Linked DNA regions of Caenorhabditis elegans. The protein of the gene in region 1 interacts with the protein of each later gene in a pairwise test. Each region holds a gene or a part of one and is shown in the gene's direction. Other genes may lie near its edges.

Region 1 (8,530 bases):
TGGCAAAAATCTGCAATCAGTTAAATTTAATACACTTACCCAGATAAATGCTTCAATAATTTTGGTTTATACTCTTCATATTTCTTATCATTTCCTATGAAAACCTTCACTTCATTTTCAATTTGTTTATATCTTTGCCGTATTAGATTCAACTTTGTCATTTGAATTTTTTTGTCAGCATCATATTCCTGATAGTAGAATGCATAAGCTCCAATTAAAAGATATAAAAACAAGAAAACTGCAAGACCCACATGAGGAAGTGCCATTTTTAACATCTGAAAACGACAATTTTGTACCCATTTTGCTTGTTTTCACAAAATTTGTTCAAAAATAATTTTTTACTTTGTCCAATAAAAATCAAAAAATTTTATATAAAGTTGTAACTCTCTTACCTTTTTCAATTTATTTTGCACTGGTAATTCGGTGCTCGACGAATTTTCTTCTTCAGACATTTTAGCGTATAGTATTCGGATAGAAATGTGTAAAAATGATGAAAAGCGTAGCATTCAATGAGACCCATATGGAAATTATGAAACCAGAATAATTTGGTAATTGTATTAGTTTAGAAATATTTGTTTAAGTTATTGTGTTCAATTTGTTTTGTTTAGGCAGCAACTGATTTGGATGAGAAGAGTTAAAAATAGGTTATTTAATCAATAAAAGCAATATGAAAAGTATTCCTCAGTAGGGTCTAACAATAAATACACTAATGGTCAAAATAATATAACTTATTCCAGTCTAAAAATATTCACGAATTTTCTTCTCCTAAATACTAGAAATTCTTAAATTTATCAAAAACCAGAAAAAATTGCAACATCTACAGTCAGTTTAAATTGTTTTTGAATTTTGGTATTTTGGTATTTGAGAAACGTTCAAATCAGATTTTAAAAATATTGGATAGGTATTTTCGCACTCATACATCTTTGAAATAAAACATTAAGTTTTTTCTCAATACGTTTGAAAAAAGTACAGTACTACATAGTATATGCACACATTTTCCAAATATATATTATCAACAGAAAACTATTCTCATCATTCTATTTTCCCAATATTCCCATCCACTTTGAATCACTAACAACAATCATGTGATTTCCTAAATGTTTTCCTTTTTTCAAATTGAAGAAAATCAACGCTGCGGAACACATTTTCCCGAAAAAAGCCGTCCGAGTTGTTCCCGTCCACACCTTTTTTCCCTCTCAAGAGTTATTCTTTTGTAGATTCTTTGGATCATTCACTTGATAGCCTAATAGTGGGCGTGTGTTTGTCTGTGCTCCGTTACGTGAAAAACGGAACAAATATTTTTTGAAAAAAAAACATTCGAATTTTTCCGTCGCGTCTCGAAATGCCCATTTCTCCTGCTGGTAGGTTTTTATAGACCTCTATTTGAAAATTTAGTTATGAATGTTTAAATAAGTGTCTCTAAAACTATAAAAAACCAATTTTTAGAGGAATCTTGGTAGATGCTCACTTTTCAGCTCACATTGATTAAATCCTCAAAAGTTCACATATAATCATTGAAATTGTTTTTTGAAATAATTTTTTAAAAAGTTATGTTTGACTCATTCTGTTTTGGTTACTTTGGCAACTACCTGAACACAGTCTCCTGTATCAATTGCTCTTAAACTTTTTAATCGAAATTTTCAGATTCAACAAGCATTGCTCGTCAAAAACAACGTCGCATCGAACCACTTGTAATGCTTGATTCTCGGGATTACGGTAGTTGGAGGAATGGAACAACTCCATCGCCGAGCACAAATAACAAAAGCCCTCCGGTATTTCAAAATGAGAAGAAGAGAGTTCATTGGCGGAAATAATTCTTGTTTCAATTTTTTTTTGTATTCTCTGTAAACTGTGTACATATTTTGTAAATTGGATTACTAATTTAAAAATAAATACTTGTAAAATAAAATGAAATAAATAAATAACTGTAAAAGCGTACTTCAGGTAGATCCAAAATATTTGGAGTGGATTTAATTTTTGGGTTCAGGTCAAGTCTGTGCGGCAAACGGCACAAGGTTCAAGGGACAAGCAACCGAAATCATTGATACTAACGAAAAGTTGAAATGCAGTAAGAAGATCAAGGAATTACCGGACAAAATTATTGCCAAGGAACAAAGGCATACGTCTCAGCTTCATTTGCATGATCCTGTTCAAGTATTCCGTGACATCATCAACCACCATCACGTGTGTACCTCATACCAGGGCTGTGCGGCATCCTGAATTTTCGGCGAACGTTCGCCGACACATAAATTTCTCATAATTTTTCGGCGATCGGCATTTATCGGCACTTTTCGGCATCCTTAAAAAAAAAATTTTGTGTTTTTTTTTCAATTTTCTAAATCTAAATAGTTGAATTCCAAAGTTTTATAAAGAGTGTCTGGTTTGAATTTTAAAGCATAGATCAATTTCATATTTAAACGACCAGACTGTTGGGATAGTCAAAAAAGGATCCCAGAGGCAAGAATGATTCAAAATAATTGTGTCGACTAAAAGAATATGGCTAATAATTCAAATATGTTAATTTTTGGGAAGTGTTAGAAATACAGGTGATTTGGGAGTGTTATGATACAAGAGACACAGAGATGTCTTTGGTTGTGTTTTATGACTATAATGTTTGTAGATTTATGTTTCAACGGATGAATGTGAAAAACTTGAATGTATATTCGATTAAATTTTTAAAAAATAAATTTTTCACAAATGCCGAAAAATACCGAAAAAAGTCGAACAAAAGTCGACCGTTTGCCGCACATCTCTCATACATATGAACGTCATATTTGAATATTCTCGTTTAAGCTGATGTGCACGGCATTTGGAATATTACGGGAATTGCCAAAACCATAGAAAATATTTTCCTAACAGCAATCGAAACTATTTGATTCCATAACTCCAATTCCCTTCTTTAAACTAGAAATTTATAAGCACATGCCTGTTCTAAGTATCCATCAATCAAATGCCAAGAAACCGCAAAACAAGGCGAAAATTATCAGAATTCTCAACAAGTCATCCGGGCGGCTCCCAAGAGGCAGTGCCGCGGCGGCAACACGCTCATCTTAAATGAAAACCCAAGAAAGAGACGCTATATAATGTTTTCCGAAATATCAATCATGCTTCTCCTCACACATCAGCTTCTCGTCTTCTCGTCCTACCGTAGTCGCTTATGAACCGAGCCGCCTCCCTAGAGACTATGGGATCCTCAGCGGTAAGTGATGGGCTCCGCCTTGTAAAATGCAACATTTTCCCTCATTCAATATGAGCCGGATGATTTTTCGCATATTTATCATTTTTGTTTCAAAGACTCCTACAGTACTCTTCTAATCGTAAACCTTTTCAATTGACAATAATTTCAGAATGATGTTTTCCTCAATAGATTCTCTTCTTAAAATCTCAACTTCTTCTCAAAATGAAGATCAAAAATTAGAGAGTCACCCCTCCCCTCCATCACAAATTCCAAATTATTCAACCAGCTGCTCTGAGGAATTAATGAAAATGGCGGCAAAAGCAGCCCAATTTGCTGCTCAAGCCTCGCTGGAGAACTCATTTTCCAGTTCTAGTGAGCTTGAACCTTTAAACTAGAAAAATCAATAACACATTTTTAGCTTCTCCCACATCAACTGTTACTCCACTTTCTGCATACACGTCACTGGTTCAGCCGGTCCTTCCTTTGATCTACGATCATTTAGCATTAACATGTAAGTGATGATTTTATGAAAGGGAATACTTCAGTAAATCCCCAATAAAAACCTCTAAAAGGTTACATACTAGAAATAATTTGAATTTTTCTAGATTCAGTAAATGCATGGCAAGCATGGGGAAAGATGAGAAGACCACGAACCGCATTCAGCAGTGAACAATTAGTTCAATTAGAGAAACAATTCTCAGATAATCGATATTTGAGTAGACCAAGAAGATATCAATTGGCACAACAATTATCTCTTTCAGAGACTCAGGTAATTTCAATAGATTTAATAAAACTGGTGCTTCCATAAAGGTAAATATGCCTACCCGTTTGCCTACCCGTACATAACGGTAAACAAATAGATATGCTTGCATTGAAGCCTTTGAAGCTCAAGAAACGAGAAAATATACGTCCACCAAAAATACTTATTTTACAATTTTTACTCTAATTATCTTTCAATTATTTGAACTTTATGGGGATTTAAACTTTGACGAATACTTTATAGTTCTCAAAGAGTCCACATTTATCGAACACTTTGACAAAAAATTTCGAAAAAACCTGAAAAAAAATTTAGAGTGGCCGATGGTCCGCTGTTTTAAAAAATTTTTAGAGGGTATATTTTGACGAGTTTCGCATTGGCGCTAGGGCTGTGCGGCTGATGACTCGGCTGATGGAGACAATCAAGTTTTTCAACGTGTTAGCACTGATCAATTAAAGAATATTTGTATTTGCAGTATTGGCTGAGTCATGAGCTTCTTATTCTAGAAAAAAGTTTTTTTTTAAGTGCACACACCTTGACAAAACAGTCGGCTTTTTGAATCATCCGAGTAACTCGGCTGTCGGCTGTCGGCTGATTGGAAAAACGAGTTTTTCTGGAAGGGGTGTGCACTTTTTTAAAAACTTTTTTCTAGAATTAGAAGCTCAAGACTCAGCCGATATGGCAAATACAAGTATTCCCTAATTGATCATTGCTAATACGTTGAAAAACGTTGATTTGCTCCATCAGCCGAGTCATCAGCCGCACAGCCCTAATTGGCGCCACTTCACTTTTAATCAACAGAATATTCAACAAATGTGTTCCTACGAGAATGAAAATTGTGTAAAAATTACTTAAGTAAATTTCCATTGTATAAAATCATTATTTATTTTTTTCTAATTTCTTGTTTCTAAATCATAATGATTTCAGATCAAAATCTGGTTCCAAAATCGTCGAATGAAAAACAAACGTTGCCCATCTTCAACTCCAATTCAATCAACTTCCTCTTCTTGATAATCTTTTTATATTTGATCACTTTTACTTAATAAATTCTTAATCAAAAGACAATATTCATTTCTAATTTATCTTCTTCCGCATCATTAAAACCTGTCAAATGATTACGTGATTTCGGTTCACTGATAACAAAAAATCGGATATTCTTCATCTCTCTCTCTCTCTCACCCCCAGGCTTCTTCTTCTTCTTCTGTCTTCTTTTTTATACAAAAAAAAAACACGTTACCTGACAATGCTTTAAATAGTGAAAATCTAGTGAAAACTCGCTTTTCAAGGGTATTTATGTTCGAATGAAAATGACTCCGCCCGTCCGAATACTTCCCATTATACAGTCACTTTGCTGATTGATGGGGTATCTTTTTTCGAGTTATATACGTTTTACTGCATTCACTTTTATTAGTATATTCAATTATACTATACATTCATACGTTCTTATCAAAATTACGAATTTTGTTATGATATCTAGCAGTTTTCTATTTTATTAGAAATCTTAATCTTCTCTAAAGGGAGAATCATAATACACCGTATTTCCTCTAATAGTTTTTTCATCTTATACCTTTTAATGGTTAAATCTCGGTTCAGTTTGAAGATATCAATAAATAATCAACTACAAAGAATTAGAAATAGAAATACAATTTTTTTACCGTTGACATTTTTTGTATTGGACACACGATATGTAAAATGTCAAAGTTGAACAATGAGGTGCAATAACAGGAAGTACGGTATATCAAACCATTTCGAAAAACAACATGTACCTTTAAAGCCGGATTTCACATCTTCACGAAATGATTATATTGGTATATTTTAATTTAGAAGTTTCAGTAATTATGTCAACCACAAGTACAGTACTCTTATTCATAACTTCGGTATGTGGTGTGGCTATTATTTCCAGTCTTCTTGTTGCTGGATCATTATTCTTTGAAGCTCAAGGATTTTTAGAGACTTCACTTGATGAAATTGAATCCTTCAAGGTTTCATTAAACAAAAATAAACTTGAGAACATGTTAATTTTTTAAGCACTACTCCGATGTCGCATGGAAAGATATGATATCATCTAATACATTTGACAGAAAGAAAAGAGACGACGAAGATAAGTCATGTGGCTGCCCATGTGCAAACGGTCCAAATAACTGCCCTCCGGGAGAAGCAGGACCACCGGGAGCTCCAGGAACACCAGGTAATTCTGCAAAACGTTTCGACCACGGCAGGATTCGAACCTGCAATCTTCTGCTCCGTAGGCAGACGCGTTATCCATTGCGCCACGCGGCCACATTTTCCGGGTCTGTCAATGCGCTATTACACATCGGAGTAAATCAATCTCGCTTGCAATAGTGAACCTTGACACTGCTAGAAACATTTATCCAATTGTTAGAAAACTTGTTTTAACTTTAACTTTAACTTTAAGACTTTAACAAATTGAAAAAAAAATTATAAAATATTTACATTTAAAAAAATTCTGCTTTCCAAGAAGTCTAAGATTTCTTAGTCAATTATTTTCCAAAATTTCAAAACAATTTAATTATGAAATATTTCACAGGAGCCGACGGAGAAGCTGGAAATCCAGGAAAAGATGGAGCTGCCGGATCTTCGTTGGTATTTGAAGATGAGAAGCTTCCATGCATTAAATGCCCAGCTGGTGAACCAGGACCACAAGGACCTGATGGTGCACCAGGTGCACCAGGACCAGATGGACAGCCAGGAGCTCCAGGATCCAACGGAAATCCAGGATCTGCCGGAGAACAAGGATCAGAAGGAGAACCAGGAGATGCTGGAGCAACAGGAGAAATTGGAGTTGCAGGAGCACCAGGAAAGAATGGAAACCGTGGATCTGGTGCTCCAGGAGCTCCAGGTCCAGAAGGACCAATTGGAGAACCAGGAAAAGATGGACAACAAGGACCACATGGAGATGTTGGAGGTGATGGAACTGAAGGAATTCAAGGAGCACCAGGAAAAGATGGAGAAAATGGATCTGATGGAGTTGCAGGAAGTGATGGAGCTCCAGGAGCACCAGGACCAGATGCTGCCTATTGTTCATGTCCAGCAAGAACTAAGCTTGTTTTTTCTAGTGAATCTCCATAAATTATTCAATGTTTCCAAATATTTAATTTATCAATTGTTATTGTTTGCCATCAAGTGTCATTAAAAGAGTGAATAAAATTGTCTCAAAAAAAAAAAGGTGGAGTCACTTTATATGTACCGTAATGACCGAATAGAACTATAAAAAAGAATGCAACTTTCCGAATGTTTCCAGATTTTTCAATTTTGCTACAAAAAATTCACTTATGCGGAATTCAACATTAATTCTGTCTCAATAAATTATAACTCAGCGACAATTTTTTACAACAAATTCGCGGGTCATACATAGCTCAATTCGAATTTTTTTGAGAATGGAAAACAAAGAACGCGAAACTAAAACTGTGATTCAAGGATCATGAACCCGCGTTAAAGCTGAAATTAATTTTTAAACAATTAAATATGTTTTTTTCTTTTTTTTCTTTCATTCAACATTAAAAAGTAAACGCATATTCTCTCAGGACAAAAGTCTTCAAAAATTCTGTGCCTGCTTGAAAAACACCGCAACGCGTCTTTAAATTCTACATTACTTTTAAAAAAATTAATCTACCGTTCTAACTTTAAAAAATTAATTTACCGTTCTAACTTTAAAAAATCAATCTACCGTTCTAACTTTGAAAAACATTCTATTTTTTCGTATAACAATCTATTTTTTCGTCTGCCAATCTATTTTTTCGTCTGACAATTTATTTTTAAGTGAGAACGGTAGATTAATTTTTTAAAGTTTGAAATTTCAAAGTGAATGCGCCATTCATTAGTAAACGAGCGAAAGTGGAAACATTAGTAATTGAGCCATCGTTAGGGATTGAACGTTCAAGTAAATGAGCACGCTAGTAAATGAGGGTTTGCCAATTTTATTTCATAAATAGTAAAAATTCAAAAGTAATCACATCCAATTTTCGTTTCCTTAACCAACCATTGATCCACTTCGTAAAATGCTTTCATCTTGAATTCTCGTTTCTTCCATTCTTTATCATGTACTCCATAGTTTTTCATCAAATTCACTTTGCAAATAAATGAAAAATTCTCATATGATTCCACTTTGCTCTCCAATAGTTTAGCATCATCATATTCACCAGACCATGTGGCTAGCCAATTGTCAAATTCCGAAACTAAAAAACAATCTTGGTGTTTGATGGTTTATATGAATTAATTTTTGAAAATATATTTCGAGGTTCTAATTTACTTGATTACTTGAAGGTGAAAATTGTTCTTAAGTCGAAATAAGCCAAATAAACATGAAAAATGTTATATCACTCACATTTGTATATCGGTTTATAATTGTACTCGCATATTTGTGCATGAAATCCTTGTTCTTCTTTTTTCATAAAATGGCTGAGAAATGTGACACGTGACTGCTCAGATGGTCCATTCGTGATCATTATTGGAATTGATCCACATACTTGATCGATAAATATTTTTCGTCGCGTCTGGATTACTTTTTCTGAAATATAAAGAAGTTGGCATAACTTCTTCATTATATCTTCATTGTTAGGCTGGCTGGCACTTGT
Region 2 (11,832 bases), on another chromosome or scaffold:
AAAAATCTCGCGTAGAAAAACCTATCTACCCCACCGGGGGCTCGAACCTGAGACCTATTCCCCCCAGTCAAGCTTCTTACCCACTGCGCTATGCTGTGCATTCTTTTGCGGCGAAGGGGGCACTCGTGGCGCAGAGGATAAGAGGCTTGTCTATGGAGCAAAAGGTCACGGGTTCGAGTCCCTGTTGAGGCAGATAGATTTTTTTATGCGGGAATTTCAAAATTTTAGGTTTTAAAACCTTGAAAATTTGTTGAAAGAGCATTTATAGGTGTCACAATCAATTGAGGTATGAATAAATTTTTCCAGCTACTGTTTATACCTTGGCGTACACACTATGATGATTCTCCAACGTTTACGTGCTCACATGTCCCCCCAAACCTACCAAATGCACAGAACAGCCCTCATAAGCCTGACCATGCAAATGGTGATCCCCGGAATGCTTCTAACAACCCCTTTGTACATGATTCTAGTAGTAATTATGACAAATTCATTGGCTTTTGAAGGTAATAGAAAAGGTTTTCAGAAAAAAAGTTTTTATCGAAAAAAAAATTTTCAGAGCTGGCCTCCACCTTCTCCTTCCTAATGTCCTCCCACTCAATGTGTCAGTGTTTTGTAATGGTTATGAGCAATGGGGTATACCGACGGGTACTTAAGGAGAAGGTTTTCAGATTGTTAAGGTTCTTTTTTGAGAAAAAAAATTCTCAAAAAAAAAAAAAAAATTCAGACTTCCAGTTCCAAATGAGAGTCAGGTGGGGAGCCTCGTTGAGCCAAGCATGAGAATTTCGAATAATTTTGTGGGAACTGTACTAAATGCTTGAAAAAGTAAGTTTTATTATAAGTTTTTGAATTTCCGCCAATTTTGAAAATTTTTTCCGAATGGCGCAGTTGGATTTTCGCCGACCTCTAATCACAAGGCCGGGGTTCGAGTCCGCACCGCGGCACAATTTTTTTTTCCATTTTTAAAAATTGTTTTAGAGTATTTTTGAGACGTAGAATTCAAATTTTTAAGTTTGGGAACTCAGAAAGTTTTAGAAAATGTCGAAAATTTGGTTGCAAAAATTTTCTTTTTTTAGTTTCAAAGTGGATTTTTGTAACTAAAATGTGAAAATTATGCTTTAAGCAGCTTTTCTATCACGTGCTCCGAATTTTGACCAATTTTGAAATTTTTGTCCGAATGGCGCAGTGAGATTTTCGCCGACTTTCAGTCATAAGACCGGGGTTCGAGTCCGCACCCGGGTCGGAATATTTTTATTGTGTTTCTTGGACGGTTTTGAGTAATTCTGATGTGTAGAATCTGAATTTTCAATTTTTTGCAACGCTAGATTTTCGGAAATCATCGAAAAAATCAATTTTAGCTCAAAAAAAAATTAAAAAAAAAACAGTTTCTGAGTCACGGCCCCAAACGCCCACTAAGAAATGCAAATTTCCATTTAAAATTTCCATCGTCCTCACATCAAACATTAAATCAATAAAATTCTTTGAGAACACGATTGAAATCTATAAAAGTTACCCCCAAAATATTAAGACCGACATATTTTAATATGGCGCTCGAAAATATGAAAATGTTCATTTTGGTAAGTGTTTCTAGAGTTTAAAAGTTGAATTATCATCAATTTTGAGCTTAAAACCTTAAAAAACCTAAGAAAGCTCAATTTTCAAAAATTTTGTCCGAATGGCTCAGTGCGATTTTCGGCGACTACCAATCACAAGACCGGGGTTCGAGCCCCGCTGTGGCAGATTTTTTTATTTACGTTTTCTATAGTAATTAAAGCTTGTAAAACTTGAATTTTCAATTTTTTTTTAGCATAAAAACTTATAGGAACGCCAAAAATTAATGTTTCAGATCGCTGCTCTCTTCCTATTCGGAGCCCTTTGCCAAGACAATGCCCCGGCATTTAATGCAGCTTCTCAAATCAGATTTACGTGTATTCCACAGTGTCATCCTACTCACATATGCGTCTTGGGAGTATGTATCTGAATTTTGAATAAATGTTGTTATATCAAGACCGTTTTGTTTTTACTGGAAATTGTTTTTTTTCAGACGCATAGTCGAATTGATTCAGCATTAGTTTAAAAAAAGAGTGCAACATACCCCTGAAATCACCAAAATCTAGTTTCCAACTCGATTCTCATAATTTAAAAGTGGAAAATTCAAAAATCTCGACTAGAAAAACCTATGTGCCCCATCGGGGGTTCAACCCTGGCTCCTATTTCCCCATAGTCAAGCCTCTTCCCGACTGCGCAGGTTCGGGTCCCCGTTGGGGGTATTTAGGTTTTTATAGGCGAGATTTTCGATTTTTTGGGTCTTAAAACTTGAAAGCTGAGTTGAAACCCTTTTAAATTCGCACATTTTTGAAAATTTTGTCCGGCTGGCGCAGTGGGATTTTCGCCAACTTCCAATCACGAGACCGGGGTTCGAGTCCGCACGCTGGTCGATATTTTTTTCTAGTGTTGCTTGAACGGATTTTGGGTATTTTTGATGCGTCTGAATCTGAACTTTAAAGTTTTTTTTGCATCATCTTCTTGGAAAACTTCGAAAAAATCAATTGCCAGTTCAAAAAATCAAAACCATTTGTGAGTCACTTTCCCAAACGCCCACTGAGAAATGTAAATTTTTCTTTGAAATTCCCATCGGCCTCGAATCAAACACCGAAATAATGGAAATTCCTTGAGAATACGATTAAAATCTATAAAAACTAGCAGGAAAACATTAAGAACCTCATATTTTAGTGTGGCGCTCGAAAATATGAAAATTCTCGTTTTGGTAAGTGTTTCTAGAGTTGAAAACTAAATTACTTTTGAATTAGTCTAAATTTTAAAAAAAATCGGACAATATCTTGAAATTTTAAAATTTATGCCAGAATGGCTCAGTGGGATTTTTGCTGACTACCAATCACAAGACCGGGGTTCGGGTCCCCGCTTTGGTAAAATTTTTTGTTATTATGTTTTCAGGATGTTTGAAAAGTATAAACTTCAAATTTTGAGGTTTCAGAGAAAAAACATCTGGAAAATACCAAAAATTTACTTACTCAACAAAAAATTTTCAAATTTGAAATTTTCAAATTAGAATCAAAATTAGTGTTACACTCACATTTACATATTTCCCGCAAATTTTTGAAAATTTTGTCCAAATGGCTCAGTGTGATTTTCGGCGACTGACAATCACAAGACCGGGGTTCGAGTCCCCGCTGTGGCAAAAAATTTTTTTCAAGTGTTTTCAATCATATTTAGACGGATAAAATCGAATTTTTCAGTTTAAGAATATACAAAAACTTCTAGGAATGTCAAAAATTAAGCTTTGAAATTTCAGATCGCTGTTCTCTTCCCATTCGGAGTTCTTTGTCAAGACGAAGTCCAGGGATTCGGCGTAGCCCGCAATCGTACTCGCAGATGGTGTGACCCACCGTGCAGAACTTTTCACAGATGCTACTTGGGAGTATGTCGTTATGTTCCAAACATTCCATGGTGAACAGCCTAAGCTCTGAATATTGAATAAATATTATCATACCGAAATTGTGTTGTTTCAACAAAACATCTAAACTTTAGAGAACTGTGTACATGCAATTCAAGCTTAGTTTGGTCGATTTGCTTTGAAATTCTCAAAAATTGAGAAAAGCCCCCCTAAAATCTCCAAAATCAATGTTCCAGCTTGATTTTCATAAGTTAAAAATTGAAAATTCGATTTTCTCGCATAGAAAAACCTATGTACTCTGTCGGGGGTTTTTCTATGCGAGAATTTCGATTTTTTAGGTTTCAAATCTTGAAAACTGTGTTAGAACCCGGTTTTTCGAGAAAATTTTGGTTTATTTAACTAAAAATTATATTTCCTATGACAATAATGTATGCATGTTTCCTGGTGACTAATACCTGCTGATGTTCCTACTCTGCGTCTCGTGCTTTTTTCCCTAATATTTACTTTTCCCCTGTCTCTATTTCACCTCTTATCAAATTTCTCACTTTTCATCTATGAAATATATTACGATTTTCACATTTTCCATAGATTTTTACATTAAAAATTGAGAAATTTTGAGTTTTTTTTCCTCAAAAATCGATATTTTGTCGCCAAAATTCAAATTTTCAGAATGGAATTTCCATCATCCTCGTCAGAAATGACATATTTCACTGTAAACTGTGAAATTTGTCAAAAAACCAGTCACGGTCTGCATTTTGGGCTTGAAACTTGTCGTGCGTGTGCTGCATTTTTCAGGTAAGCTCTAGCGGAATTTCGGAGCATCGTACCGGAGAATTTTTTTCCAGGCGCACCGTAGTTTTGAACCGAAAATACAAATGTATCCAGAAAACTGGAAAATGTGAAATTGGAGCCGGTGGCGAGGAGAAGCTGTGCAAATTTTGCAGATTTAAAAAATGCATCGACTTGGGTATGACTACTGAAAGTGAGGGTTTTTTTTCTCAAATTTTCGTTGAAAATGCAAACTGTGAAAGCAAAATAATTTAAAAAATTGTATTCTCCGCAAAATTTCCGAAATTTTGACCCCCATATTGACTATATTCAGGAAATTTATGTTTTCGGGCCGAAATTGGCCGATTTTAGGCCGAAATAAAATAGAGTCTACTCACAATTGCAAAATTTCATACAGTTCCTAAAATTTAGCGCCTAAATTTATAAGTTTTTTGAATTCGGGCCGTTTCAGGCCGAAATAGGCCGAATTTAGGCTTAAACTGAAAATAATACTATAAATTTCGGATTGTTCACAATTTCTAAAATTTTAAAACCCAACCACAATTTTTTAAACTATAGCTAAAAATAAGGTTGTAAAGGTTTAACTCGACAAAAATTTTTGCATTCAAAGAAAAACCTCATAACATGTCTCACACTGATCTAAGTTCGGCCTATCTCGGCTTATTTCGGCCCGAATCGACTCAGAAACTATACAACGAGTACTGGCGTCAAAACTTTGATTTATTTCAATTCTCAGAAGAGATTGCTTATTAAAGTTTGCAATGTTTTGTTTTAGGCTAAAATTTGGCCTATTTCGGCCTATTTCGGGCTAAAACTTTTTTTTTTCAGTTTTTCAATTTTTTTTTCAGATGTACGCACAGATTTCAAAGACGATTCTGAAGACACCAGTTCTCAATCCCCTCAATCCACGTCATCAATGGAAGTGACGTCATCACAGCAAATTGTCGCCAAAGTGCGGAATCGGGTGGAATATTACATAGTTAACCCGAAAACTCAAGCACCTGCAATGCTTATTGATGTCAATGCAATTATTAAAGAAAGTAGAGCAATTTTGGAGACGGTAGGTAATTTTCAAAAATTTGTTTCAAAAAAGTTTGAAAAAATTCTGAAAAAGTCAATTTTCCGGTCTAAAACTGGCTTAAAAATAATCTTGTGAAATTTAATCAATACTTATTTTTGAATTTGAAACCCATATTGCTAAATTGAATTGAAAAATTGTTTTCAGGACAGATTTCGGCCTGAAACGGCTTATTTTGGTCCGAAAAGCCGGCCCAAAACGGCCTGAAAGCACAAACTGTTAAAAACAACCGATTTGTATGTCACTTTTGTACAAAATTCACAAAATGCATTTTTTGTGTGTTAAATTTTGAAAATTCGGAGATCAAGCCTGAAATGAGGCCCAGAACGGCCCGAAAACTGAAGTTTTAGAAATATACTCAAAATGGGTTTTAAAATTTTAGAAATTGTGAACAATCCGAAATTTATAGTATTATTTTTCGAAAATTACTATTATTTTCAGTATAAGCCTAAATTCGGCCTATTTCGGCCTGAAACGGCCCGAATTCAAAAAACTCATAAATTTAGGCGGTGTTAAGTTTCCAAATTTTAAGAACTGTATGAAATTTTGCAATTGTGAGTAGACTCTATTTTATTTCGGCCTAAAATCGGCCTATTTCGGCCCGAAAACATAAATTTCCGGAATATAGTCAATATGGGGGTCAAAATTTCGGAAATTTTGCGGAGAATACAAATTTTTAAATTATTTTAAATTATTTCGAAACCCATATTGCTAAATTGTTAAAAAAATTGTTTCCAGGGCAGATTTCGGCCTGAAACGGCTTATTTTGGTCCGAAAAGCCGGCCCAAAACGGCCTGAAAGCACAAACTGTTAAAAACAACCGATTTGTATGTCACTTTTGTACAAAATTCACAAAATGCATTTTTTGTGTGTTAAATTTTGAAAATTCGGAGATCAAGCCTGAAATGAGGCCCAGAACGGCCCGAAAACTGAAGTTTTAGAAATATACTCAAAATGGGTTTTAAAATTTTAGAAATTGTGAACAATCCGAAATTTATAGTATTATTTTTCGAAAATTACTATTATTTTCAGTATAAGCCTAAATTCGGCCTATTTCGGCCTGAAACGGCCCGAATTCAAAAAACTCATAAATTTAGGCGGTGTTAAGTTTCCAAATTTTAGGAACTGTATGAAATTTTGCAATTGTGAGTAGACTCTATTTTATTTCGGCCTAAAATCGGCCTATTTCGGCCCGAAAACATAAATTTCCGGAATATAGTCAATATGGGGGTCAAAATTTCGGAAATTTTGCGGAGAATACAAATTTTTAAATTATTTTAAATTATTTCGAAACCCATATTGCTAAATTGTTAAAAAAATTGTTTCCAGGGCAGATTTCGGCCTGAAACGGCTTATTTTGGTCCGAAAAGCCGGCCCAAAACGGCCTGAAAGCACAAACTGTTAAAAACAACCGATTTGTATGTCACTTTTGTACAAAATTCACAAAATGCATTTTTTGTGTGTTAAATTTTGAAAATTCGGAGATCAAGCCTGAAATGAGGCCCAGAACGGCCCGAAAACTGAAGTTTTAGAAATATACTCAATATGGGTGTCAAAATTTTGCAATTTTCACAAAGAATTCAATTTTTTTGGTTTAGACTTCGGAAATTCTCAATCTTTACATTTTTCAGCGAATTTCAATTTTTTTTTGCAGCACTATTTTCCCGACGAAGACCTTATTGCTCATCTGAACCCCCTTCAGCGGATGTCCCACTCATTGCACAAAATCCGTGAGAAACAGTCCTGGAGCCCGGAATTTTTTGAGCACGTAAAATTTTACAAAATGTTCCAGTGGTGGGAGGTACAGATGCGGGATACTGCCACGTGGCTTATGCATTCGGACGAATTTCGGAGGCTACCGAGTCATGAGAAGGTTTTTTTCGAATTAGGCTTAGGCCTAGGCCTAGACTCAAGCTTAGGCCTAGACTCAGGCTTAGGCTTAGGCCTAGACTCGGGGTTAGGTTTAGGCTTAAAACATTTTTCTAGTTTTTTTTGGTAGTTTGTCTGAAAATTTAAAAAAAAAATTCTGAAAATTTTTTTTTTCATGAAAAGGTAGTGTTGATTAGGCTTAGGCTTAGGCTTAGGCTTGGGCTTAGATTTAAGCTTAGCCTTAAAAAAAGTCTCTCAATTTCCAGATCGCAATTTTCAAAATAGTGTGGGCGGTGTGGCGGAGATTCGAGAGGTACACAATGTCTGCTCAAATGTTCGGTCAAAAATGCTATGACGAAAAAGTAACTGAAACGGCCTGAAATAGTCTGAAAATATTAAAAATTTCTCAGATTCACGTTCACAATCACCAATTTGCCGCGAGATTTGGCAATTATCATATCGATTATTCAAACGTGTCGGATCACGGCTTTGAGCGGTTTAACAAGTGAGTTTCCGGACTTTGAAGTTAAAAATTTGAAATCTACATAAAATTCGCAAAATTGTGACCCCCATATTGACTATATTCTGAAAATTTTAGTTTTCAGGCCGAAATAGGCCCATTTTAGGCCTGGAAGCCAAAATTGATGTAAATTAAGAGATATTATGAAAATTTGACATGTATATCTACTGCTTTCCAAATATCGTCTTTCTAAGCCAAAGTAGGCCATTTTGGGCCACTTTGGGTCACTTTCAGGCTTGAAAACTGATTTTTCAGAATATAGTCAACATGGGTGCCAAATTTTTGGCATTTTTTAAAAAATAGTTGACTGTAATATTAAGTTTCCAAAAAAATGAGTTTTCAGGCCAAAATAGTCCGTTTTAAGTCAAAATCTAAGCCTGAAAAGTGATTTTTCAGAATTCAGTCAATTTAAGAGTCAAAATTTTGGAAATTTTATTGCAATGCAGATTGTAATATAAAGGTTCCAAAAAATTGACGTTTCAGGCTTTACTTTCAGGCCTGAAAACAGATTTTTCGGAATATAGTCAATATGGGTGTCAAAATTTCGGAAATTTTGTGTAGATCTCGAATTTTTACCTTGAAATCACTTAAAATGCTCTAAAAATATGCAAAACACCAATTTTGTCATACTCTTCAAAATTTTTAGTTTTCAGCTTTATTTTCAGCCCAAAAGACCCATTATTGGTGTCAAAATGCTCCAAATTTTACGTAGAATCCAAATTTCTTACTGAAAAATTCAATTTTTTCAGTGTATTCGGTGGAAAAATGATCAGATATTTTGACATAATCGTGAAGCCATACCTGGAACTTAATCTCTCTGAAACTGAAGTCACCTATATTTTATGTCAAATCGTCTGGAATTATGCAGGAAGACGGCTTCAAGGACAAACCCAAGCGGCTGGAGAACGATTTTTAGAGGAAATTTCCAATAATTTGCATAGTTACTATGAAGAAGCTGCTAGAAAAGAGGAAAATCCGAAAAACTATGCGTCAAGGCTTACGAAAATGATGCAAATTGTCAATGAAATGCTGAGTATTCAGTTGAAACGAGAAAATACTATGGATATAGCAATGTTGTTTGATATGTTTAATATTGTGTTCACTGAGCCCGAATTTTTCAGGGTTTGAGTGGAAAAATAACGAAAATAAATCGTTTGATATTTTGTGTGAAATTGTGAAGTTATTTTAGAATTTTGTAACACACATAAGTGGACTTGAAACTAAAAAATTCAAATTTGGCGTGAAATTTCCAAAATTTTGACACCCATATTGACTATGATCTGAAAATTTTAGTGTTTAAGCCAAACTGGGCCGTTTTCAGGCCAAGTTTAGGCCTGATTGTCAAACTTCTTGAAAATACCCAGTATAGGTTTAAAATTTTGAGGAGTGCTATGCACATTTCTATTTTTATGCTGATCTTCGAAAAATCCACTTTTCAGTCCGAAATGGGCCGTTGTCAGGCCAATTCTAGGCCTGATATTCACTTTTCCTGAAAATAGCCAATATATGTTTAAAATTTTGAGGAGTGCTATGCACCTTTCTATTTTTTATGCTAATCTTCCGAAAATTCACTTTTCAGTCCAAAATAGGCCGTTTTCAGGCCAATTCTAGGCCTGATTGTTACGTTTTTAGAATATAGCTAACATGGGCGTCGCATTTTGGGAAATGTTATGTACACATCTATTTTGCTACTGATGACCTAAAAATTTACTTCTGGGCCGAAACGGGCCGTTCTAGGGCAAAAACAGGCCTGAATACTAACTTTTCAGAAAGTAGCCAATATGGATCATAATTTGTTAGAATTTCTGTGTAACGTTCTAAATTCTCCACATCAGTCTGATTTTTCAGTGTATTCGGCCCGAAAACGATCCAATTCTTCGACGACAATAGTCTACCTGAACCGAAATAGGCCGTTTCAAGCCAAATTCTAGGCCCGAAATCAATATTTTCACAACGTTGTGTCAAATTGGTAACTTTCTTCCGGACTTCCGAAAAAGGTAACTTTCAGGCCGAAATAGGCCGCTTCCAGGCCAATTCTAGGCCTGAAAGTAATTTTTCAGAATGTAGTCAATATGGGTGTCGTATTTTGGAAATTTAATTTCAATGTTGACTGTAATTTTAAGTTTCCGAAAAATTGACTTTTCAAGCTGAAGTAAGCCGTTTTAGGCCAATACTAGGCCTGAAAATCAATTTTCCAGAAAATAGTCTATGAAAGTTTGTGAGTTTTTTTTTGAAATATTTTTCCGGAACATTTTCTGAATTTCTGCAATTTTCTGAAATTTTCAAAAAAAAATTCCGAATCTCTGAAATTTATATGAAATTTTTCTTAAAATTTGTGAATTTTCTTCAAAGTTTTTGAAAGTTTTTCCAGGTTTTCAGAGCTGAAACTTGCTAGAAATGTCTGAAAATTTCTGGAATTTTCCTGAAATTTTTTGTAAATGCTGTTTCCATTAGAAATTAAAGATTTCATTGCTTTTTTACTATAAAATTCCCCTCAAACCCTGAAAAACTCGGGCTCGGTAAACGAAATATTGAACATATCAAACAAAAGCGCCAAGTCCATGTCAGTTTCCTGTTTCAGCTGCATTTTCAACATTTCATTGACAATTTGCATCATTTTCGTAAGCCTTGACGCATAGTTTTTCGGATTTTCCTCTTTTCTAGCAGCTTCTTCATAGTAACTATGCAAATTATTGGAAATTTCCTCTAAAAATCGTTCTCCAGCCGCTTGGGTTTGTCCTTGAAGCCGTCTTCCTGCATAATTCCAGACGATTTGACATAAAATATAGGTGACTTCAGTTTCAGAGAGATTAAGTTCCAGGTATGGCTTCACGATTATGTCAAAATATCTGATCATTTTTCCACCGAATACACTGAAAAAATTGAATTTTTCAGTAAGAAATTTGGATTCTACGTAAAATTTGGAGCATTTTGACACCAATAATGGGTCTTTTGGGCTGAAAATAAAGCTGAAAACTAAAAATTTTGAAGAGTATGACAAAATTGGTGTTTTGCATATTTTTAGAGCATTTTGAGTGATTTCAAGGTAAAAATTCGAGATCTACACAAAATTTCCGAAATTTTGACACCCATATTGACTATATTCCGAAAAATCTGTTTTCAGGCCTGAAAGTGGCCTAAAGCCATAATTCCAGACGATTTGACATAAAATATAGGTGACTTCAGTTTCAGAGAGATTAAGTTCCAGGTATGGCTTCACGATTATGTCAAAGTATCGGATCATTTTTCCACCGAATACACTGAAAATGTTGAATTTGTAGTAGGAAATATGGATTCTAAGTAAAATTTGGAAGCTTTTGATACCCATTTTGGTTTTTTTAGGCCGAAAATGGAGAAAAAGACTAAAAAAATTTAGGTGGGGATTTACTATTAGGCTCTATTACTATTACTATTTTGCCGTACTTTTGAATCTTTGAAAAAAAAACAGCTTTTGTTTAAATTTTGAAATTTTTTAAAATAACCTTCCGTACAAGATAGCATAAAAATAGTCAATATGGGTGTCAAAATTTTGGAAATTTCATGGCAAATTCAATATTCTTAGTATCAGGGCTTACTTCTCAAAAGTGTGCGGACCCTGGCTCCATACATGTGAATAATCAACGCAATAGCTCCCAAATCTTGCTGCAAACTTATGGGAATGCAGAAGAATCTGGAATAAATTTTTTTAGAATTTTGATTTAGGTAAGACTCCTGCCTACTTTTTCATCATAACATTTTTGTCCGAAAACTTCAGCAGACATTGTGTACCTCTCGAATCTCCGCCAAACTGCCCACACTATTTTGAAAATTGCAAGCTGGAAATTGAGTAACTTTTTTAAGGCTAAGCCTAAATCTAAGCCCAAGCCTAAGCCTAATCAACACTACCTTTTCATGAATTGGGAGCCCTCTAAACTCCCGGCAGTTCATAAGCCACGTGGCCGTGTCTTCCAGCTGCTCAGCCCACCATTGGAACTTTCTGCCAAACTTGATAGTGGTAAAAAATTCTGGGGACCCTGACTGTTTCGATCGGATTTTGTGAAGGGACTCTACCATCATTTGGAGTGGATTTAAATCTGGAGCCACGTAGAAATTGTGGTTCTGAAAAAAATTGAAAAAAACTGAAAACTGTCAAGCAGAAAATCAAAAATTTTTTTTTTAATTTCC
Region 3 (12,385 bases), on another chromosome or scaffold:
ATTTTGGAAAATTCTGCAATTTTGGGTCTCACCACGAAAATGTCCAAAAACTACCGTCACTTTATTTTTTCAGGAATTTTTCCAAATTTTAACATCAACGTATTACAGACTTTCTAAAAATGTACATATTTGACTAAATTTCCAGAAATTTCTGAAAAATGGGTAACGCCGCGAAATATTCCCTGCGAGACCCAAAAACTGGAAAAAACTAAAATCTGAAATCCAGTCATGATTATACTTATTTGAAAGCCCATGACTTGCTAAATTTGAAAAATTTAGTTTTATGGGTCTCAAAACGAAAGCTGCTAGGTAACGGTAGTTTTGAAAATTTAATTTTTGAAAAAAAAATTTGATTTTTCAAACTGTCGTATTTTTGTACTTTCAATATTAAAAAAAAATGTTTTTTTGAAATCTGGAACTGAAATATTTCTATTTTTGTATTTTTTTTTAATTTTTACCACATTTTCTATAAATTTTCATAAATCTGAACATATATTTTAAAAATTTGTCAAAATTTTCAAAACTTTTTTTTTTTAATTTTTTCTGAAAAATTAATACTTAAGGTTATTTTGCATTTAAACGAGGTATATACACTAAAATGAAGCAATAACAAAATTTTTTTTAGTTTTTAAAAAAAAATTTCAAAAAAAAATAAAAAAATTTGTCCAGCCCAAAAAAAATTTTGCCTCAAAATTTTCAAACTCTTGTAATTTTTTTCAAAATCAACATTTCCCGCCAATTTTTGACTTAAATTGAAGCCAATTTTCCGCTCTTCAACATACCTGAATAATAGTTACCGGCTGCTGAGGTGAACTGCAAGACGGCGAGCAAAACCGCGAGAAGTGTGACTACTTGCACTCTCATTTTACCTGAAAATTTGCAATTTTTCAGATTTTTACAAAAAAAAAGGTTTCCGACGGGGTTAAAAGTCTCGAAAAAAAAAATTTATTCTCCTTAAAATCCTGTTAGTATTTATTAAAAAATTTGGAGCATTTTTTGGCGAAAATTCCAAAAATTTTGATAAAGACTAACGGGAGATGGGAATTTTTTGGAAATTTTTTCGGTAAAATTTTTTGACAAATAATTTTTAAAATCTTTCAAAAACAGTGAGTCTAATAAAATATGAAATATGATTTAAGCTCCGCCCACAACAGCCTCGGAGCTCCGCCCCCTTTTCAGATGACACAGAGTGGCCAATCGGGGTTTTATTAATTAGTGAATTCAAAAAAATATTAAAAATGTATATATTCCGGATAAAAAAAGGAATTTTAAAGGAAAAAGTGTAAGAAAAATTTTTCAAAAAAAATTTTTTTTTTTTGAAAAATATATTCAAAAAAAAAATTTTTTTTTCATTTTTTTTCCAAAACAGTGTGTAGATGTAAATACGGTTTTATAGTATTTTTTATGAGAAATTCAGTTCATTTTGAGTTTCACAAGTATCTCATTTCCCAACAAAGCGATTTGAAGTTGGTGGCCTAGAAAACCAAACGTTAGGCCATAAATTGGTAAATTGGCCGGGAATCTAGACAATTCAAAAAAAAAAAACAAAATAGATTTTTCACGTCTATATATGCCGAAAAAATTTCAAAATTTTTTTTTTTATTTCGAAAAAAAAAATTTTTTTTGAAATTTTTCCAGAAGTTTTTTTTTTAATTTTTAAATTTGTAAAACAGTGAAATATAAGGGTGTATGCTTTAAAATTTTTTTCTAAAAAAAGAAAATCTAAAAAAAGAATTAGATTTGCCACTTCTAATATAAATGCAAAAAATGAAAACAAATTTCAAAAAAAAAAATGTTTATGGAATTTTTTTTTTCAAATTTTTTCCTGCTCCAAATCTCAACCCCACCCTTTTTTACAGTAATCCTAGTATAATAATACACCTAATTAAAAACCGGAAAAGGCGCAATGAAAAGAATTCGTAATAAAACGGAAATTTCAAATTTTCGAGCAAAATCTTTTTATTTATATATATATATAAATTTTCAAGTGGGTGTGTGAGTGTGAGCTGGATAATTAGATGACGTATCCTTCAAAAATTTCGGAATTTAAAATCTGTGCTTTAAGCCTTCTTCCGTGCTCCCCCAACCAACGAGTGATCCAATTATTTCTGCCAATTTGCATGAAAACGGCGCGGCAAGAGAAATCTGAAAAACAAAACCGGTTTTTTAGTGGAGTAATGCACATTTTAAGGGGTTCTGCTCACATTTCAAAAAAGGAAATGTCGCCTGAATTAAGTAGAAACCTAAAAAAAAATCCGAGTTTTTCGGATGAAAATTCCAAATTTGAAAATTTCCAAACTGAAACTTACTTTTATAACTTGAAAATTGATTTAAAATATTGTTCAAACAAAATAAAAACTATCGGCCTGAGCGGGGGTTTGAACCCGCGACCGTTTTTTATAATTTGTCCCTCTTCCCACCTGAGCCAAAAACACCCCAAATTTGAAATTTTGAAAATCATGGCTAAGCTCTAAATTTACACTTTCTAGGCTCAAAATTACACGAGAAATCCAAAAATTAATGTCATTTTGCTCTAGGACAACGTTGAGCCAAGTTATGGGCTTAAGAAGCTCCGATCGCCCGAAAAGCCTGAAAAATCTAAAATTTTCAAATTATCCAATATTGGTGTCATCTATATAGCAAATTTTGTGCTGAACACGATAAAACATGTATTTTCTGGATGACTTTTCTAGTTTTTAAGATATTCCAGAAAAACTGGAGAGATTTCAAAATTTTTCAGAATTTTCTCATTCTCTCCGATTTTCATATAATTTTTTCGGGGTTTCTTGTTTCCACTACATTATAGTCAAGTACTAACCTCTAGACACACCTGTAATCTCCAAATGTTTTACCCTTTCTATCTCTAACCACTCTCTGAAAAATGTGCACTCTCTCGCCGTCTCATGTTTGCTATCGGTCTTTGGCGTAAGAATAAGGAGAATTTATTGCGAAATATTGATTTTTTTAGAAACACCTTTATTGTTATTTTTCATTATTTATTGGCAACAATTTCTACTTGAAAAACTGAAAATTTTTGGAAATTTGAAATTTTTTAGCGATTTTTCCACCTATTTCGGGGAATATCTCAAAAACTAGAAGAGATATCAAAAAGTTGTCAACTGAAAAGTTGTTCAGCATAAAATTTGCTATTTATTTGACACCCATATTGAGTATTTTGAAAATTTCAGATTTTTCAGGCTTTTCGGGCCCTCGGAGCTCCATAAGCCCATAATGTGGCTCAATGTAGTCCTAGAGCAAAGTAACGTAAATTTTTAGATTTTCCGTGTAATTTTAAGGCTAGAAAGGGTAAATTTCGAGCTTAGCCACTATTTTTAATATTTCAGAGAGGGGGAATTTATGGCTCAGATGGGTAGAGGGACAGTTGGGCGAAGTAGGGTAAAAGCAGGTCAGGGGTTCGAGTTCCGGTGCCTGCTAAATTTTTTTTCATTGCAATTTAAACATGTTGAGATCAATTTAAACCTCTGAGTTCACAAAATTTCAAAGAATTCCCGAAAACCTAGGAAAACCTTTTATCGATTTTTCCACCTATTTCGGGGAATATCTCAAAAACTAGAAGAGATATCAAAAAGTTGTCAACTGAAAAGTTGTTCAGCATAAAATTAGCATGTTATTTGACATCAGATTTTTCAGGTTTTTGGGCCCTCGGAGCTCCTTAAGCCCATAACTTGGCTCAAAGTGGTCCTAGAGCAAAATAACTTAAATTTTTGGATTTCCCGTGTAATTTTAAGCCTAGGAAGTGTAATTTCAGAGCTTAGCCATAATTTTCAAAATTTTAAATTTGGGGTATTTGTGGCTCAGGTGGGTAGAGGGTTGGCTGTGTGCGGCTTTGAAAAAGTAGGTCAGGGGTTCGAGCCCCGTTGCCTGCTAAAATTTTTTTAATGATTTTTTTGATTGGTGTGTATGACTATGAGCTTGAAAATTGAAAGAAATCTCAAGAAAATAAAAAAAAACAATTTCAAAAACTTCAAAAAATAATTTTTTTTTTATTTATGGATTTTTCTTAAACTCTTTTTTATACACTTTTTACTAGCTGACTTAACAAATTCCTTCCAATTTTCCCTGAATTCCATGCAAAACCCATATTTTCAGACAAATGATCACCCCATTCTCTTCTTCTCCATCTTCATCCACTTCTGACTCCCAGACACCTGAAATTACGGCAATCGGCTTTAAAAAATGTGCAGTTTGTGGTTTAGATGCCAAGGGAAAGCATTTTGGAGCATTTAGTTGCAGAGCTTGTGCCGCTTTTTTTCGGTGAGTTTTTTTTTCGACAGTTTTTTAGAATTTTCTCAAAAACTTTTAGATTTTAGTGGAAAATAATACTTCCATCGTGTTCAGCACAAAATTTACCACTTATTTGACACCCATATTGAGTATTTCCAAAAAAATGAAATTTGAGCACCTCAAGGCTCCGGGAGCCCATAACTCGGCTCAAAGTGCCGGGAGAGCGATAAAGTTTAAATTTTTGAATTTTGCTTAAAATTTTACCTCTAGAAACTTGCAATCAAAACCTCTAACTTGCTTATTTGAGATTTTCGGCTTATTCCGGCCTAAAAAGGGCCTATTTCGGCCTAAAAACCTATGTTTCTAGAACTCAGCCAGTAAAAGACTCACAACTCTAAAAAATCTTGAGAAACTTTAAATTTGTGACTGAAAGCCTAAGAATTTTTAATTTTTCGATATAAACCGGGCCTGAAAAAGCCTAAATTGGCCTATTCTGGCCTAAAACTCAAAACTTTCAGAACCTAGTCAATATGGGTGTCAAAATTTTGGAAATTTCATGGAGAATCCGAATTTCCTACTAAAAAGTGTCCCCGAATGTCCCATGTCCCGACAACGGGACAAATTTTGAAATTCCCGAAAACACTTTTTTTAAATTAAAATTTTTTGAAGGTTTTCCTTTTTTTTTGTTTCTTCTATACATATTAGGTGTTCTGAAAAACTGAAAAATTATTCACAAAAAAAATTTTTAATCCTAAAAATTTCAGCCGAGCCTCCACCCAGTCTGCCTCCATCGGGCCGTGCAAAAAATCCCGGACCTGTAACTTATTCAACGGAAATGGATGGTTTCAGTGCAAGAAATGCCGTCTGGAACGGTGCTATAAAGTCGGAATGACCATGAAAAGTAATTCGGGGGGAAATTTGAAATTTTCGGAAAAAATTTTTTTTTTAAAGATTTTTCGAAAAAATTTTTTTTTTCAGATTTCCAATTCCAACGGGACCATATTCGATCTAAAATTGAAATTATAAATAATAAATTGCCTGAGGTAAATTTTCAGCCAAATTTCACCCAAACCCAAATCTTTTCCCATTCAGAGCATCGAAAAACTAGTGGGCCGCCCGTTTTTTGTGGTTCACTGTAAGCCGACACTAATTGAAATTCACACTCAGCAAAATTTAATCGATTGCCATGATTTTGTGGAAAAGGGCCGAAGGATACTGTTTGAGGTAAGCTTAGCTATCGATTTTTAGGCATAAAAATTGAATTTTGAAAATTTGTCCCGCCACTTGTCGGGACATGGGACACTCGGGGACACTTTTAAGTATGAAATTCGAATTCTCCATGAAATTTCCAAAGTTTTGGAACCCATATTGACTAGGTTCTGAAAAACTCGGTTTTTGGGCCGAAATAGGCCTTTTTCAGGCCGAATATTGAAAATCCGCAGAATTTCAGTCACAAATTTAATTTTCTGTAGAACTTCTGAAAAATTAAAATTTATAGTTTTGATCCTGAAAAATGAGATTTTTAGGCTGAAATAGGCCGTTTCAGGCCGATCTAAGCCGAAAATCTCAATTTCTGCTGCTTTTTTCACCAACCATTCTTCGCAAAAATCTAGTTTATTCGACACCTCTATCAAGCAAGACTAGGACATTTTGATTTTCAGGCAATTAGGCCGATTCAGGCCGAAATTTGAGTTTCCAGGAGATCTGAGACAATTTTGAACCTAGAATTAGAATTCTACTTGAAATTTCCAAAATTTTAAAACCCATATCGGCTAGGTTCTGAAGTTTTGGATTTTTAGGCCGAAAAAGGAGATTTTAGGCTAGATTTGGGCCCATTTAAGGCGTCAAACGTTTCAGAAACTAGTCGATATGGGTTTCAAAATTTCGCAAATTTCACGTAGAATCCGAATATCGCAGTCAAATTTCATTTCCAGGGCTCTCCAACCCCGTGGGGTTCTGATTCCTTGCAAAAGCTGGCTCGCGGAGTTCGGAAGTTGGCTGGAAACTACAGTAATCCCAAAGTTAAGGTGATCGAGAGCTACGGGATGGCCGAGACGTTTGCATTCTGGGAAAATGATTTTCTGCGGGCCGCCACGTGGTTTTCGTATTTCGACGATTTCCAGCGAATGTCTAATGATGTTCAGGTGTTTTTTTTTGTAGTTTGTAGTTTAGTTCAGCTACCACAACCTATTCAGATATACTCGAAATGGCCCGAATTCGAAGAAAAAAAACTTTTCAGCTAAAAACTCAAATTTCGGCAATTTTTCAGTGTTATAGCGGCCAAAAATTAGATTATATTCAATTTTCACCCATTAAAGGTGGGGTACCGAAATTTGAGACTTTACTTTTTTAGACCTAAAATGGCCCAAAACTACCGAATTTCGTAATGAGACGAAAATTTTTCAAAAAAAAGTTATGGCTGCTCAAAGTTTTCGGAAAAAAACGGCCTATTTTTAGCCGTTGTTTCCAAAACTTTGAGCAGCCATAACTTTTTTGTTGAAAAATTTTCAGAACGTCTCATTACGAAATTTGGTAGTTTTGGGCCATTTTGTGTCTAAAAACGCAAAGTCTCAAATTTCGGTACCCCCACCTTTAATGTATATTTTAATCATTTTTCACGCGTTTTAGCTTAATCTACTGAAAAACGCGTAATAAACCATTAAAATATACATTAATGGGTGAAAATTGAATAAAAACTACTACTTGGCAGCTGGCTGTAACACTGAAAAATTGCACTGCAACTTTTTCCTCTCGAGGGACGAGGAAAAGTGGTTTCTAGGCCATGGCCGAGGGGCCGACAAGTTTCAGCGGCCATTTATCTTGCTTTGTTTTCCGCCTGTTTTCTTTCGTTTTTCATCGATTTTTTCATTTTTTCTTAATAAAACTGATAAATAAATATTTTTTGCAGATGCTAAAACAATTTCCAAGTAAAAAAATTATGTATTCAGTCGGCAAGCAGCGATGAAAGTGGGCATTGTAATATGATGGATTACGGGAATAAAAAACCCAAACTTTTTCTGAAACATGATACATGTGATGCTTAGATGCTGAAATTACCTGATTTTCATAACGAGACCGCTGAAAAAGTTTTGAGGTTTCCAAAATTCAACTTTTTTGGTGAAAAAGTCGAGATTTTCGCACAAAAAGTAGAATTTTGGAAACCTCAAAACTTTTTCAGCGGTCTCGTTATGAAAATCAGATAATTTCAGCATCTAAGCATCATATGTATCATGTTTCAGAAAAAGTTTAGGTTTTGTATTCCCGTAATCCATCATATTGCATTGACCACTTTCACCGCTGCTTGCCCACTGAATACATAATTTTTTTACTTGGAAATTGTTTTAGCATCTGCAAAAAATATTTATTTATCAGTTTTATTAAGAAAAAACGAAAAAAATCGATGAAAAACGAAAGAAAACAGGCGGAAAACAAAGCAAGATAAATGGCCGCTGAAACTTGTCGGCCCCTCGGCCATGGCCTAGAAACCACTTTTCCTCGTCCCTCGTGAGGAAAAAGTTGCAGTGAATTGGCGAAATTTTCGAGATTTTAGCTCTTAAAACATGTTCTATTTCTATTAGAATTTCCACCACTTTTTATAGTTTTAACCACCTGAAATCCCGAAAATTTCCAGCTAAAAATCCTTGCCGCCACGTGGCATGTATGGTCTCGTCTGGATAAGTTGGCAATTACAGCGATGGGGCGACGGATGAAGATGTGCTGCGGTGATTGTGTAATGTTTTCGCATAAAAATGAGTATTCAATGATGGATATGAAGAATATGGAGTTGGATTTGACGTGGTGCTCACGATTAACCAATCAGCAAATGCAATTGTAAGTACTTAGGGTTGATCAACAAAAAATGCGGGAAAAATTTTCACTCCCAGAAAAATATGACGTCAGCAAACTCTATCTCTAAACACCCCGCAATTCTCGTAGATCAAACCAAATAGTAGTTTTTGTAGCGGAAAATTTCGGAAATACGCTTAAAACCCCCTCAGAATCACCCGAAAACTCGAAATTTTTGTGACAAAATCCTGCGAAAGTGTGCATTTTAGGCTTAAACAGCGCCAAAATGCTGTAGTTTGTAGTCAAAACCATCTCCAATTCGATTTTCTTTTCCGCGAAAATTTCCGCGAAAATTATTAATTTTCTCAGTTTTCTGGCATTTTTTCCATTAAAAACTCTATTGGAATTGCTTCAAAATTCCAAAAATTTGTAGTTTGTAGTCTAAGCAGCGCCCAAAATTGAATTAGCAGCGCCCAAAACTTGTAGTTTGTAGTCTAAGCAGCGCCCAAAATTGAATTAGCAACGCCCAAAAATTTGTAGTTTGTAGTCTAAGCAGCGCCCAAAATTGAATTAGCAGCGCCCAAAACTTGTAGTTTGTAGTCTAAGCAGCGCCCAAAATTGAATTAGCAACGCCCAAAAACTTGTAGTTTGTAGTCTAAGCAGCGCCCAAAATTGAATTAGCAGCGCCCAAAACTTGTAGTTTGTAGTCTAAGCAGCGCCCAAAATTGAATTAGCAGCGCCCAAAATTTGTAGTTTGTAGTCTAAGCAGCGCCCAAAATTGAATTAGCAGCGCCCAAAACTTGTAGTTTGTAGTCTTAGCAGCGCCCAGCGCATTTTCAGCAGAATTTCACCAATTTTCAGCTTCTACGACACGTCAGAAAACCACATAACCTACAAATTTGCCCAAGAAATGATGAATTTGAACCCAGATGACGTGGAGCTGTCCTATATGCTGGCTCATTTGGTGCTCGGACACGCGGGACGCCGATTTCGAGGCGAAATTCAAGAAAATTGCGAGAAAATTATGGAAAAATTGGCGAATAATCTGCATGATTACTATGTTAATGTGAAGGAAACGCCGAGATATTCAGTTCGCCTGGCGCAGATTTTGAGAATTATCCGGAAAATTAAGGTTTTCTTAGCTTTTTCACTCTAAATATTGATAAATTAATAAAATTTAACACATTTTTGCAGGAAGAAGTGCTCCAAATCCGCTCAAAACTCCAATTGGCCAAGGTTTTCGACGTTCACACGATGCGATTTTCTCATTATGAGTATTTTGAGGATTTATAATTGATTTTTATTGAATAAATTAACTTTAAATCGTGATTTTTTGAGGTTTTTGCAGGTTTTTCGATGAAAAATGACAAAAAATAAATTAAAAAAATCGAGAAATGCGCCAAGCACGCAAAGTGCGCCAGCAAAAGTCCAAGGCGCGCTTCCGGATTTTTCGAAATTTATTTTTATTTTCAGTTATTTTTTCTGATTTTCCGTTGTTTTTCAATGAATTTTCGAGGTTTTTTAGTGAATTTTGCATTAAAAAACTCGAAAATTTAATATTTCTTGATATTTTCTCCCAAATTCACCAGTTTCATCGCTAAAATCTTGCGATTTTCGGCAAAAACTGTTTTTCAGGTGTAAATGGTGACTAAACGTCATCAAGAAGCCGTGGTGACTCGGGGAGCCATCGAAAATGACACAATTTCAGCGGTGGGTGCAAAAAAACCTTAGAAAACTTACAAAAATCAAATTTCCTCCTAAAATTTCCCAATTTTTCAGGTCGCCGCCAAGTTCTGGGCTCCATTCACAGCAGAAACTCACGAAAATTTCGACGCAAAGCTCATCGACACAATTTACGACAATGAAATGCTGAAAACCTCGTTTAATTCGCGAAAAATCATGATGCTCGAGTTTTCGCAGTACTTGGAGGCCTATTTATGGCCGAATTACGTTCCAGAAAAAGCCTCAAAGGCCTGGAATATGTCGATTGTTGTGATGATTAATGAGAAATTTCGAGAACGAAATTTGGATTCGTGGAACTGTTTCACGAAGAAATCCGAGCACTTTCCGCACTTTTTTAAGAGCATTTTGCAGCTTTCGTTGCAGGAAGAAGGGTGATTATTCGAGATTTTAGCGGAAAAATGGCGAAAAAGCTCAGAAAACTCGAAATTAGCTCGAAAATTGAATTAGCAGCGCCCAAATCTTGTAGTTTGTAGTCTAAGCGGCGCCCAAAATTGAATTAGCAGCGCCCAAAACTTGTAGTTTGTAGTCTTAGCAGCGCCCAAAACTTGTAGTTTGTAGTCTAAGCAGCGCCCAAAATTGAATTAGCAGGGCCCAAAACTTGTAGTTTGTAGTCTAGCAGCGCCCAAAACTTGTAGTTTGTAGTCTAAGCAGCGCCCGAAACTTGTAGTTTGTAGTCTTAGCAGCGCCCAAAACTTGTAGTTTGTAGTCTAGCAGCGCCCAAAATGTCGTTAGCAGCGCCCAAAACTTGTAGTTTGTAGTCTAGCAGCGCCCAAAATTGAATTAGCAGCGCCCAAAATCTTGTAGTTTGTAGTCTAAGCAGCGCCCAAAATTGAATTAGCAGCGCCCAAAACTTGTAGTTTGTAGTCTTAGCAGCGCCCAAAAAACCAATTTCATCGCTTTTTGCTCATTTTTAGCTGCATTTTGCGAATTTCATAGCAATTTTTCGGCATTTTCGCTCATTTTGCACCTAATTTCGAGCAATTTTCTTGTTTTTTTTCGCGAAAAAAGCAAAAAACCACTGAAAATCACCACTATTTAAACGCGAAAAATGCGATTTTCCACTAAATTTCTCCCCAATTTTCACCAAAAAATCCTTCGAAATTTTGCAGACTCGCCTCCTCAGAACACTGTGCTCTTCTGACATTCCTTGTCAACGCATTTGGCTCCGTTGAGACACCAATTGTGCACAAAGAGACACGAAAACTCGTCTCAATTGAGATTTGGGCCGGTCTTTTGGACTCACAACGCGAAGATTTGTTCAAAAAACAGAAGAAATTGAAGAAAATTTGGGAAAATGTGCGGCAGAAAATGACGGCGGCGGCGGCGGACAACAACGAGTTCGAACGGACTTATTTGTGGAATTTAATCGAGAAATTTAAACGAGTTTTGAACAGTTTGGAGCCAAATGAGGCTCAGGGTACGTGGAAAATGCTAAATTTTCCGGAAAAAACGGAGAAAATCGGTGAAAAACGCCGGAAATTCCGTTTTTTTGAAGAGAAATGCGAAAAATTAAAGAAAATATTAGTTTTTTATCCGAAAACCGTAATTTTTTTTCGATTTTTCAATGAAAACCTCATTAAAATCTCTTGAAAATGACGAAAAAACGTGAAAAATTCACAGCAGCGCCCAAAATATTGTAGTTTGTAGTCTAAGCAGCGCCCAAAATTAAATTAGCAGCGCCCAAAACTTGTAGTTTGTAGTCTAAGCAGCGCCCAAAATTGAATTAGCAGCGCCCAAAACTTGTAGTTTGTAGTCTAAGCAGCGCCCAAAATTTGTAGTTTGTAGTCTAAGCAGCGCCCAAAACCAAATTTCATCGTAATTTACACATTTTCAGCGGATTTTCACTGATTTTTCCGATGTTTTTAGCTTTTAGCATCTAATTTTGAGTAATTTCTCAAATTTTTACATTTTTTATGGTATTTTCAGCATTTTTAGCCCATTTTTCGGGCAAATTTCGAGTAATTTTCAGAAATTTTGCAATAAAAATTCTATTTTTTCGAGAAATCAGCAGTTTCTCCAATTAATTTTTCCCTAAATTGTATCAAATTCCAGCTAAGAGTTCAGCGCCAAAATTCAAATTTTGTGATTTTTGAACTAAAAAAAGTCCCGGAAAATGTGTTGTAGAATTCGATTTTCGCGCGATTTTTTCTAAAAAAATTGGTCTTTTTCATTGAAAATCCACAATTTTTGCAGAATCCGAAGAAGGAGAAGTACGTGATCCAATTGATTCGATCAAATATTGCGAGAGATTCATCGAATTATTGATTGATTTAGAATCAATTCTTCAAACGAGACGATTCTTCAATTCAGTACTTCATTCATCACATATTCTCACACATTGCCTGCTTTCTTCGTTGATTTCCACTGACGCTGGTTCGCTGTTCTTCCAATTGGTTCAACTCCTCAAATTTTACGCTAGATTTGAGATTGATGATCTTTCAGGTGCGGGAATTGGCGGCTGAAAATTGAGAATTTTTGAGAAAAAACGGGCGCTAAAATGGTTTAAAAAAAACATGGTACAACATGACATTTTGAAGAAATCCGCATAAAAATCGTCAAACCCCGAAAATTGGCGTTTCTACAGTGAATTTCGTAGCCTTTTTACTGTAGA

The links.
Region 2: the proteins of ceh-12 (region 1) and nhr-170 interact in a two-hybrid assay, tested with the Caenorhabditis elegans proteins (one large-scale study listed by BioGRID).
Region 3: the proteins of ceh-12 (region 1) and nhr-243 interact in a two-hybrid assay, tested with the Caenorhabditis elegans proteins (one large-scale study listed by BioGRID).

Annotation. Positions count from the first base shown.
Region 1 is NC_003279.8:5,836,941-5,845,470, forward strand, and holds ceh-12 (Homeobox protein ceh-12), read left to right. Parts: upstream 1-3,341; 5' UTR 3,342-3,348; coding exon 3,349-3,550; intron 3,551-3,596; coding exon 3,597-3,689; intron 3,690-3,783; coding exon 3,784-3,947; intron 3,948-4,862; coding exon 4,863-4,946; 3' UTR 4,947-5,000; downstream 5,001-8,530. Other genes in the region: twk-47 (Potassium channel domain-containing protein), read right to left, coding at 40-275, 393-452; F33D11.16 (uncharacterized protein), read left to right, coding at 1,343-1,361, 1,645-1,814; col-54 (Nematode cuticle collagen N-terminal domain-containing protein), read left to right, coding at 5,774-5,917, 5,964-6,123, 6,484-7,025; F33D11.6 (DUF4263 domain-containing protein), read right to left, coding at 7,896-8,131, 8,281-8,519. UniProt on the Caenorhabditis elegans protein: Transcription factor. Plays a role, downstream from homeobox protein unc-4 and Wnt signaling, in specifying synaptic inputs to A-class motor neurons. Involved in patterning of the synaptic outputs of the postmitotic DA class cholinergic motor neurons.
Region 2 is NC_003283.11:18,793,070-18,804,901, reverse strand, and holds nhr-170 (Nuclear Hormone Receptor family), read left to right. Parts: upstream 1-4,075; 5' UTR 4,076-4,082; coding exon 4,083-4,207; intron 4,208-4,257; coding exon 4,258-4,394; intron 4,395-5,049; coding exon 5,050-5,261; intron 5,262-6,933; coding exon 6,934-7,152; intron 7,153-7,414; coding exon 7,415-7,510; intron 7,511-7,558; coding exon 7,559-7,653; intron 7,654-8,417; coding exon 8,418-8,796; 3' UTR 8,797-8,841; downstream 8,842-11,832. Other genes in the region: sri-10 (G protein-coupled receptor), read left to right, coding at 307-503, 557-677, 725-818; C54E10.10 (Late nodulin), read left to right, coding at 1,542-1,574, 1,844-1,978; C54E10.11 (FIP (Fungus-Induced Protein) Related), read left to right, coding at 2,747-2,764, 3,311-3,469; nhr-231 (Nuclear receptor domain-containing protein), read right to left, coding at 10,163-10,541, 11,244-11,338, 11,388-11,483, 11,554-11,766.
Region 3 is NC_003283.11:18,892,256-18,904,640, reverse strand, and holds nhr-243 (Nuclear Hormone Receptor family), read left to right. Parts: upstream 1-4,103; 5' UTR 4,104-4,114; coding exon 4,115-4,275; intron 4,276-5,009; coding exon 5,010-5,146; intron 5,147-5,223; coding exon 5,224-5,288; intron 5,289-5,337; coding exon 5,338-5,469; intron 5,470-6,179; coding exon 6,180-6,389; intron 6,390-7,876; coding exon 7,877-8,076; intron 8,077-8,892; coding exon 8,893-9,163; intron 9,164-9,225; coding exon 9,226-9,324; 3' UTR 9,325-9,360; downstream 9,361-12,385. Other genes in the region: mihp-2 (Neuropeptide CCHamide-1), read right to left, coding at 783-864; emb-4 (Intron-binding protein aquarius), read left to right, coding at 9,673-9,741, 9,811-10,145, 10,884-11,191, 11,968-12,216.